Linked DNA regions of Caenorhabditis elegans. The protein of the gene in region 1 interacts with the protein of each later gene in a pairwise test. Each region holds a gene or a part of one and is shown on either strand. Other genes may lie near its edges.

Evidence for each region. The genes of interacting proteins can lie anywhere in the genome.
Region 2: the proteins of tcer-1 (region 1) and snr-3 interact in a two-hybrid assay, tested with the Caenorhabditis elegans proteins (one study listed by BioGRID).

What each region holds. Positions count from the first base shown.
Region 1 is NC_003280.10:7,045,344-7,051,688, reverse strand, and holds tcer-1 (WW domain-containing protein), read left to right. Parts: upstream 1-1,617; coding exon 1,618-1,718; intron 1,719-1,776; coding exon 1,777-1,803; intron 1,804-1,862; coding exon 1,863-2,205; intron 2,206-2,700; coding exon 2,701-2,887; coding exon of another isoform or gene 2,888-2,919; exon of another isoform or gene 2,920-3,251; intron 3,252-3,405; coding exon 3,406-4,745; intron 4,746-4,799; coding exon 4,800-5,246; intron 5,247-5,294; coding exon 5,295-5,526; intron 5,527-5,580; coding exon 5,581-5,648; 3' UTR 5,649-5,816; downstream 5,817-6,345. Other genes in the region: ZK1127.5 (putative RNA 3'-terminal phosphate cyclase-like protein), read right to left, coding at 1-383, 431-837, 885-1,014.
Region 2 is NC_003280.10:6,488,331-6,491,493, forward strand, and holds snr-3 (putative small nuclear ribonucleoprotein Sm D1), read right to left. Parts: upstream 1,432-3,163; 5' UTR 1,424-1,431; coding exon 1,345-1,423; intron 1,131-1,344; coding exon 1,026-1,130; intron 981-1,025; coding exon 879-980; intron 832-878; coding exon 737-831; 3' UTR 501-736; downstream 1-500. Other genes in the region: plpp-1.2 (Phosphatidic acid phosphatase type 2/haloperoxidase domain-containing protein), read left to right, coding at 1-106, 157-256, 302-420; rsp-5 (putative splicing factor, arginine/serine-rich 5), read left to right, coding at 1,839-2,026, 2,078-2,329, 2,657-2,735, 2,781-2,888. UniProt on the Caenorhabditis elegans protein: Plays a role in pre-mRNA splicing as a core component of the spliceosomal U1, U2, U4 and U5 small nuclear ribonucleoproteins (snRNPs), the building blocks of the spliceosome.

The DNA.
Region 1 (6,345 bases):
CAGAGTGTCATAAATGTGCTTGCAAGTATTTGAGCACTACTGTCAAGGGCACCTCCCATGTAAATTTGTTGAAGAAGAGCATGACCGGCTTCAATTCCAATGTCTTCTGGAAGAATTGGAACTCCTGATTCGCCCTTCGGTCTTGAAATAGCTTCTGCTTGGTAGATAACACCCTCTGTCGTTTCGGCGGTTAAGAACAGACCATATCCTGGAGAAGCGCCACCAGCATCACCTTTCCGTTGATCAACAGTAATATAAACATCCGAAATGTACCCATGCATTGCTTTCTTTGCAGCGTCAATCATTCGATAAGCTAGTGAAGGTGTAACTTTAGTAACATATGCTTGACCTCGAATTTTACAAACTTTTCCGACTTGTTGTCTCTTAAATTAACATTTTGTTTGGGAAGAAACGAATAAAGTAAACTCACTTTTACTGGCCGAAGAGTTTTAACAATTGGAGCGGTAAACACGACAACACCGCCTCCTTCTGGTTTCAATCCTCGAGCTTGAATTTTGATATCAAGTTTCTCATCATTGAGCACAAATTTGTTGTAAACTTTCAACCAAGAAGCTTTCATACCATCGACTGAGATTTCACCAGGTGCGTTTGTAACTCCTTTCAATTTGATTACCATTGGAACTTTGCAGAAGGGAGAAAGCAATAGAAGAGGCTCCAAAAAGTAAGAAATGCATCTTTCGGTACCACAATCCAAATTAACAACACCGCCAGTAATCATTCCCGGTCGGAAAATGACTTGAGTACCTGTTCGACTGATTTCAACTTTAGTACCGTTCGTCACTTTCTCAAGTAGACCGATCAGTTTTGATTCGAAATCTGTAATAATATTTTATGTGATACAAGTTGATAATGAGTAGACCGACCTCTGATTCCTGGTCTATCATCATTTTTTCTGATGTTTATTATTCTGATGGGTCTTCCGCTGAGAATTGAGTACGCTAGTCTGATTCGGAAGAAATTGCATCCACTGAATTCTAGAGTTTCACTGGACATTACCTGAAAAATGTGTCCATCAGTCAAGACGAAAATTGAAGAAAAACAAGCGATTGAAAAATAACAGCATATAAATATTAAATTTATTTGAATTAAAATTCTCCAATTTGAGGATTGAGCTCAAATAGAAACTAAAAATGCTAGAGAGCAGTTTTCATTGGGAGCATATATTATCTGCAAATCAGCAAAAAATAAAGAAAACGTTTACTCGTTTTGTGTCTTAATAAATCAGTTAATTAAAAAGACTTTTTTTAAATCCTTTTAATTTTTTGTATTCATCTGCAACTGCAAAAAAAATTCCGCGAAAAAAAATAATGCAAACGCGCTCCATTGTGAGAATTCAGAGCGCGACGCGGTGTGCGACGCGGTCCTTTGCAACATATTTCGGAGCTTTTTACAACTATTTTATTTGTTTTCAGTTTACAAAGTATTATTAGGGTAAATGGGAATGACTAAATATATAAGCCAAGCAATTAACACTCTGTTATATACATAGCTGATCTTTATAGAGCTCAACTAGATATAGTTTTGAAACTTTTCGTAATTCCATTATGCTAGACTACTGTTTTTGGATTTTACTTTATGAACTGCTCTTTTTTACAGATGAGCCACGAAAATCAGGAGAACTACGATGATTATAACGGAGACCACGACAATAAATATGACCAGCAGTACGACGAATCAAGCCGAGGCGATGATTTTGGGTATGTTTTTTTTTGGTATTCTTAATTTTACGAAAACCGTAAAAATATTATTTTTCAGTGGATATGGTCGAGGAGGGTCGTCAAGGTATTATAAAATTAAATTTACATGCTCAATCTAAATAAATTATCAGTACATTTTTTCAGCGGCAGAGGTAGAGGATTTAATGGACCGCCAGGCGGTGCTGGAAGTTTTTTCGGTGTTCCCCCAGCTGCACGTGGTCGAGGTGGACCAGGGATGGCTCCTCCAGGATTCGCAGGTAGAGGTCGTGGATTTGCTACACCAGGTATGAGCAGTGGTTTTGCTCCGCGCGGTCGCGGTATGCCGCCAGGTCGTGGTGGATACATGCCTCCATACAGAGGAGGTTATGGTGTTGCACCAAATGGAGGTCCAGGAGCGTACGGAGGGCCTTATAACGGAGGTCCTGGAGCATATGGTGCTCAAGCACCAGGGCCGAATCCACAAGATCAGGAGCAACGTCTGAAGAGAGTGAGTAAATGTTCAATTGTTGAAATAGTCTAGAAACGTATACCGTATTTCTTCTATTAATATGGCTGCAATACTATTTTTCGATGGTCTTCCCGCTTGCAATACCAATAGGGAGTGCAAGACTATTAGGGAGTGCAATACTAATTTTCAGGGCCTTTTTCTGACTTTGAGCTTACTACTTTTGTTCTGAAAAAACTCGAATCTTATGTAAAAATTCAGAAAATTTGATTGAAATTGCAACAAAAAAGTTCAAAAACTTCAATCTTATAAAAATTTTCACGAAAATTGTTGAAAACGACGCAGAAAATGTTGTTAAAATCTCAAATTTAGTGAGGCGGGTTTGCACCGAAAAAAAGTAGACGCAAGACTATTAGGGAGTGCAACACTAAAAGTGAGTGCAATACTAATTTTCGGAGGGTGTTCATGGTGCAATACCAATAGGGAGTGCAAGTCTAATAGGGAGGCCATACTAATAGAAGAAATACGGTATTTCAGCTTTCGGGATGTGAAGAAGGACAAGAGTTATGGGTTGAAACTGAGACAGCTGAAGGAAAAAAGTATTTTTATCATCCAGTTAACAGGAACACAATTTGGGAGCGACCACAAAACGCTAAAATAGTCACTCAACCAGAATTGGCTCAACTCATTCATAGAGCCACGGAAGAGGAAAAGAATCGTGAAGGTATGCAATTGCATTCAACTTTTAGCATTTGATGTTTTTGATTCCATCTTTTTGCACATTTATAATTAATTTTCAGAAGGTTAAGTTTAAACCTGGCACAGAAATTTCAGATTCTTAGGTTCATCTCTCCATAAGATTATGTCGCTCTTCTAGTCGTTCCTCTTCATTGCTGTCAAAGCTGAAACGCGTTTGTTAGAAAAGTTTGATAATAAGTTTGGAAAAAAGAAACATAAAAATCAGTGGTAATAATCAAAAAGTCCGTATTGTATCACAGCCACAGGAAAAAATTGCGGAACAACTACCGATTTACGAGCTGCGAGAAGGACATTCTATGCCGTGCGAGCATCATGCCATCCACTAATGTGTAATGTCCACTTTTCTAAGTTTTCCATCAAGTCATAATAGAAAATCATCATTATCTCTTGACTATGAGATTCGGGATCCACGTAGGGGCGGTCTCTGAATATAAATTAGATTTTATTTTTCATATTTATGCCTAACATATGATTTTTTTTCAGAGCGAATGCCACATGGTCAAATCCCACAAAATCCTGATGATGCCTGGAATGAGTTTAATGCCCCGGATGGCCGGAAATACTACTTCAATTCGATAACACAAGAGAATACTTGGGAAAAACCAAAAGCTCTCATCGATCAAGAGAATGGAGGGGGAGCGTCTCCCGAACCTGTACAGTCGGCTGCTATCGCTGAAGCTCAAGCCAAAGCACAAGCGGCGCTGGCAGCTTTTATGGCTCAACAGAAAACTTCTTCCAATGGCGGAGGTGGAATGCCATTGTCTAAAGCACAAGCTTCAGGTGCAGCTGCTGCAGCTGCGGTAAACGCCGAAGCTGCTAAAAAGAAAGATTCGACTCGTCCCATTAGCAGCACTCCAGTCAGTGGAACTCCATGGTGTGTTGTTTGGACCGGTGATGACAAGGTATTCTTCTACAATCCTTCTACGAAGTGCTCTGTTTGGGAACGTCCACCAGATACATATGGACGCGAAGACGTTGACAAACTAGTTCAGAATCCTCCATCTCCAAAAGCAGAAGAAGAAAATAATCAGTCTAAAAAAGAAAGCGAGTCAGAATCTGAGTCTGATGAGGATGGTCCTCCAAAAGCTAAGAAAAGTCGAGCTGAAAAGAAGAAGGAAGCTTTGATTGCTGCTCAAAAGAAGGAGAAGGAACGTCCTCGCCAAATGCTTCAGAAACCAGTTGATCCTGCAATTGAGGCTGAGATGCAAGCTGCAAAGGAAAGAGAGAAAGTTCCATTGGAGGAGAGACTGAAACAGTTCAAGGAAATGCTCGAAGAAAAAAATGTTTCCACATCAAGCACGTTCGAGAAGGAACTTTCAAAAATTGTTTTCGACAAACGTTACCTGTCTCTTGGGGCTACTGAGCGTAGAGCTTGCTTCGATGCTTTTTGCCGGGAAAAAATTGAATCTGAGAAAGCTGAGAGAAGAAAACGGGTCAAAGAAGCAAAGGAAGAATTTCAAAAGTTACTTGCTGAGTGCGAACTCAATGGACGGTCATCGTATTCTTCATTCACTTCAAAGTTCGGAAAAGACCCTCGTTACAAAGCAGTTGAAAGAAATCGTGATAGAGAAGATGCTTTCAACGATTTTGTCGGCGAATTGCATAAGAAGGAAAAAGACGAGAAACGTGCTAAGAAAGAAAAACTGAAAGCAGCTTTTGTGAAACTTTTGGAAGAGCAGACTGGTCTCACGCGCAAATCTAAATGGTCAACCACGAAGAAAACACTTGAAGATGAAGAAAGATACATTGCTCTCGATAGTAGTTCTACCAGAGAATCTCTGTTCCGAGAATTTGTGGCGAATCTTGGAGATGAAACAGCATCGGTGAATTTATTGTCTTATTGTTTTTTTTTTTCAATTTTAAAATATCATTTTCAGGATATCGAAGAAGAGCAGGAACGTGAGAAGCGTCTTGCTGCTCAAACGGCCATTGCAAACCGTCAGAAAGAAGTTGAAGCCGAACTTGGTAATCAACTGCGAGAGCGCACAAAAGAAAGTGAGAAACAAAAGATGGGCGAACACGAGGATACCTACCGAAATCTTCTAATCGATCTGATAAAATCTACCGAAAACAGTTGGCACGAGGCTCGACGCATTCTTCGAAAAGATGAACGCTATGCAAATTGTGATATGTTGGATAAAACTCGCAAAGAGTCGCTCTTTGATGATCATATCAAAAGTTTGGAAAGAAAGCGTCGTGAGGCTTTCTTCCAAGTTCTAGATAATCATGAGAAGATCACACCAATGATGCGCTGGAGAGACGCTAAAAAAATCATTCAAGACGAGGAAGAGACTTTCGTAAAAATTGCTAGCAACTCGGAGAGGGTTTGTGATTTATTTTTAATTAAAATACTTTAACTTTATTATTTTCAGAAAGTTGAGAGAGATTTCCGAGATTGGCAGGAGAGACGGCACGATCACCTTACTGATGAATTCAAGGAGATGCTTTCTGAGACAAAAATCATCACGCATAAGTCGAAAAAATTGATGGAAGAAGGTGAACAGCACATGGATATTTTGTCAGTTCTCGAAAACGATAAGAGATGGGTGCGGATGACTGCTATGAGTGCATCAGAACGGGATCGTATGCTAGAAGATCATATTGGTAAGATAAATGCTCATAAATTGATACAGTTGATTTACATATTAATATTTCCAGAAAACTTGGGCCGCAAAGGAACACCGCCTCCACCAACACAACAAGAGCGGGATCGCAGAAAGCAATAAACACTTGATTAAGTATTTAAATTAGTTGTTGATATTCCATCTTTAATCAGATCCAATCTTCTCATTCAATCTCATCACTTTCCCGTTCTCCATCTATTTTTGTACCTGTATCCACAGTATTTTTAGCCACTTATTGTTTGTGCCTCTCATTGATTCTAAAAAGAATTACCGTATTTCTTCTATTAATATGGCTGCAATACTATTTTTCGATGGTCTTCCCGCTTGCAATACTATTAGGGAGTGCAAGTCTAATAGGGAGTGCCATACTATTTTTCAGAACATTTTTCTGTGTTGGGGCTTACTAGATTCTACTTGAAAAAACTCCAATTTTATTTGGAAGTATAGAAAATTTGATTGAAATTGCAACAAAAAGGTTTTTTTTTAACTTTTCATAATACTGGTATTTCTCTGAGAATATTTCTATGCTTGTGCATGAAAATTTAGTGATATCTTGATGGGCATACTTTGTAAAAACATGTTGAATCAAACACTTTCAGAAGTGCTATTGATTTCAGGTCCAACGATAAATTTGAGTACGGGTAGCACATGAAAACGAAATTTCCAAAAAACGCTTATTTCTCGGGAAATAGTTCAATTCTACCAAATTTTTCTTTGCAAATCTACTAATTTCTTACAATATAAAAACATTAAAAAGGTTTTCTGAATTGATAAAATTTTTAAACATTTTTGAGTACGG
Region 2 (3,163 bases), 560 kb from region 1:
TATGATTGGACTTGGAATTAGCTTCTCCAGAATCACTGATAATAAGCATCATTGGAGCGATGTTCTTGTCGGAATTTTCATTGGAATATTCTTGGCTGTTTACACTGTAATATTATTATGAGTGTTTGGGAACTTTCGCATTTTTTCTGCTTTCAGTGTACCTTCTGGACAGATTTGTTCTCAAACAATTCAACTGAATCTGAAACACAACCTCTTCTGCTTCCTCGACCACCCCGTACTCCCAGAAACTCTGAAGGTTGGTCCATCGTAAATTTTAACTCAATTACATATTTTTTTCCAGATGAGGAGCGACATCGATTGGATGCAGTTTTACCTTCTACGGATAGTTCTATTGTTTTTGAAGCTACTGGACCGCAGGACTCGGATACAATTTTGTTGCCGGTTCCGCAAAGTGCATAATGCAATTTTCTTGTTTTTATTCGAATTTTTTGTTTTAAATATAAATAATTTTTGCCCTTATGTTGTTGCTCTTAATGCTTGAATTGAAGAAATTTATAGAGATCAGAACGTAACAACAAAATAAAGTACAGTTGTTCTCACGGGCTGCGAAACTTGGGAAATTTGTGTTGACTCGGAAAGCCGTAATAAATTATTTCAAAAGATTTAAACAAAAGTCAGCAACTTTAACGGGAACAAAATGTGAATTAAACTTGAGGAACGTGATACAAAAGTATAGGACGTTCGATACTCAAATTTGCTATGACCCGATGATAGCTTAACGACGTGGACCGCCTCCGCGTGGTCCTCCGCGTCCGCGACCACGACCTCCTCTTCCTCCGCGCATTCCACCACGACCACGTCCACGTGAAGCTGAAATAAAAATATTAATAATCTGTCGAAAAGACGCTTAAAGCTACCTCCGGCGCGAGCGGCACGGGCCTTCTTTCTTGGTTCATCGTCGATTAAAAGGGTGTCAAGAGCGAGTGGATCCGGCAAAATGATGTATCTGATGTTGTTACCTGAAAATCTTAAATTATATTTATTCAAATATGATTTTTAATAACCTCTGATTGAAAGCGTGTCGAGTTTGACTGGCTCCTTGTTCTTAACTGTCATTGAGACGGCACGAAGATGTGTGTTCATCGCAACATCGACTCCCATGATAGTGCCTAAATAAAATCGATTTAGTTGTTTAGTTACGTTTTTGCAGTAATTAAAATTATACAATATTATTCGGATTTATGACTTTGAAAATGTATCCTAATATAAAAACACTATAACAAATGTCGAGCAATTCGTGAAAGATTGATTTTGGTTGGTTAATAACTCAACTTCTCGATTAAAACACTTTCAAGCAGACAATTAATCTTAAAAAATACTCACCGGACACCTGAGTACCGTTCTTCAATTCAATATTGACGGTCTCGTGAGACAACTTCATCAGGAATCTGACCAACTTCATTTTTCTACCTGAAATACATACAATTATAGAAGAATAAAAGGAAACGATGGAATTCAATAGAAAATACGACGATAAAAATAACTTTTAACTGATAAGAAAGAGGTTATGACAAATAAAAACATCTGCATCAAGGAAAAATGTTTCAAAACAGATTTCCAGTGACTGGAATCCAGTCATTTTGAGCACATTCGAAAATGCAAAAGACTTGGCGGCATGCCAAGTGGTCTCGCAACGACTAGGAGTACGGTCGCACTCGTTTTCATGTGTGCGCTTTTGATAGAATTTCTTTTTCTTGACTTAGGACTTTCTCTTCTTAAAATTGAGATTGATTTCTCGAATTCATGTGTTTTTTTTACTGGGCTTAATGAACGGCGTTTAATAAATTAATTTTTGAATATAAAGTGATTTTCCAGAAATGCCGCGCCTCTATCTAGGAAAAATTCCATACAATGCACGCGAACGCGACGTTGAGCGATTCTTAAAAGGATATGGCAAAATTAATAACATCTCAATGAAGTATGGATTTGCCTTTGTCGATTTTGAAGATTCTCGTGATGCTGAAGACGCATGCCATGATTTGGATGGAAAAACCATGGAAGGAAGGTAATAAAATAATAAACCAAAATTAAAAATGTTCTAACTTTTTATTTTCAGCTCTATGCGCCTTGTCGTGGAAATGGCTCGCGGAAAACCACGCGGCAATGACCGTCATGGATCGAGATCACCACGACGACGTTCCCGCTCTCCTAGACGTCGTTCACGTACTCCACCAAGAAGACGTTCCCGCTCTCGTGATCGCAAACGTTCTCGCAGATCCCGTTCCAGAAGCTCCTCCAGATCCAGATCACCAGTTCGTGAAAGTCGTCGCAGAAGCGAATCCCGTTCGCCGAGCCCGAAAAGAGACTTGTAAGTTAACTTTAATGTGTGGATTGTTTTGGAAGGGTGCCACATCACGAACCGTTTTAGCCACAGTTCAATGAGAAATCAATATCACCTACAAGCCCACATCGCAATGGCATACACATAGCTGAGACAGTTCGAGCACAGTATGGGTCAACTATCAATACATTTCAATTCACTTCTCGTTCAGTCCCCACAGTTACCAAAAGCCGCTGTTTCGATTAAAAGAGTGAGATCCCTAACTTTGAATCAGACAACTTCGCGCAAACATATCGGTTTCGTATTCGAGTCCTTTAGATTCCGACTCTATTAAATGCAAGAATTATATTTTAGGAAGCGTGAAGCGTCGAGATCTCGTTCACCACTGCCAGCAAAAGATCGAAGCAGAACCCGAAGTGGATCTCCCCCAAAGGTAATTCATTTATGTGCTTGTATAGTAAAAATCATATGGTTTCAGAACGGCGGAGATAGAAAGCGCAGCGTGAGCCGTGGAAGAAGTCACAGCCGAGATGGCAGCAATCGCAGTGTGTCTCGCTCTCCGTCTCCAGGATCTCCAAAGGATTAAAATTGTGTTTTTATACCGTTTACTGTTGTTCATTTACCACTTCTATTTTATAATATTTGTTCATCCTCAGAGCTGTTCTGATTTTAATAATTCCCGAATAAAACCGAGCGGAGACTTCCTTCATTTTTTAAAAATATTTAAAGGCACATGGTATTATTCACACAGGTCTCACCACGATTACTTCAACTACTGTACAATATTGGGGAATTTGAAGGTCGAACGCAATTTTGGGCTAATTTACTGCTTTGTTATTTTTACTGTTCTGGAAATTGCCG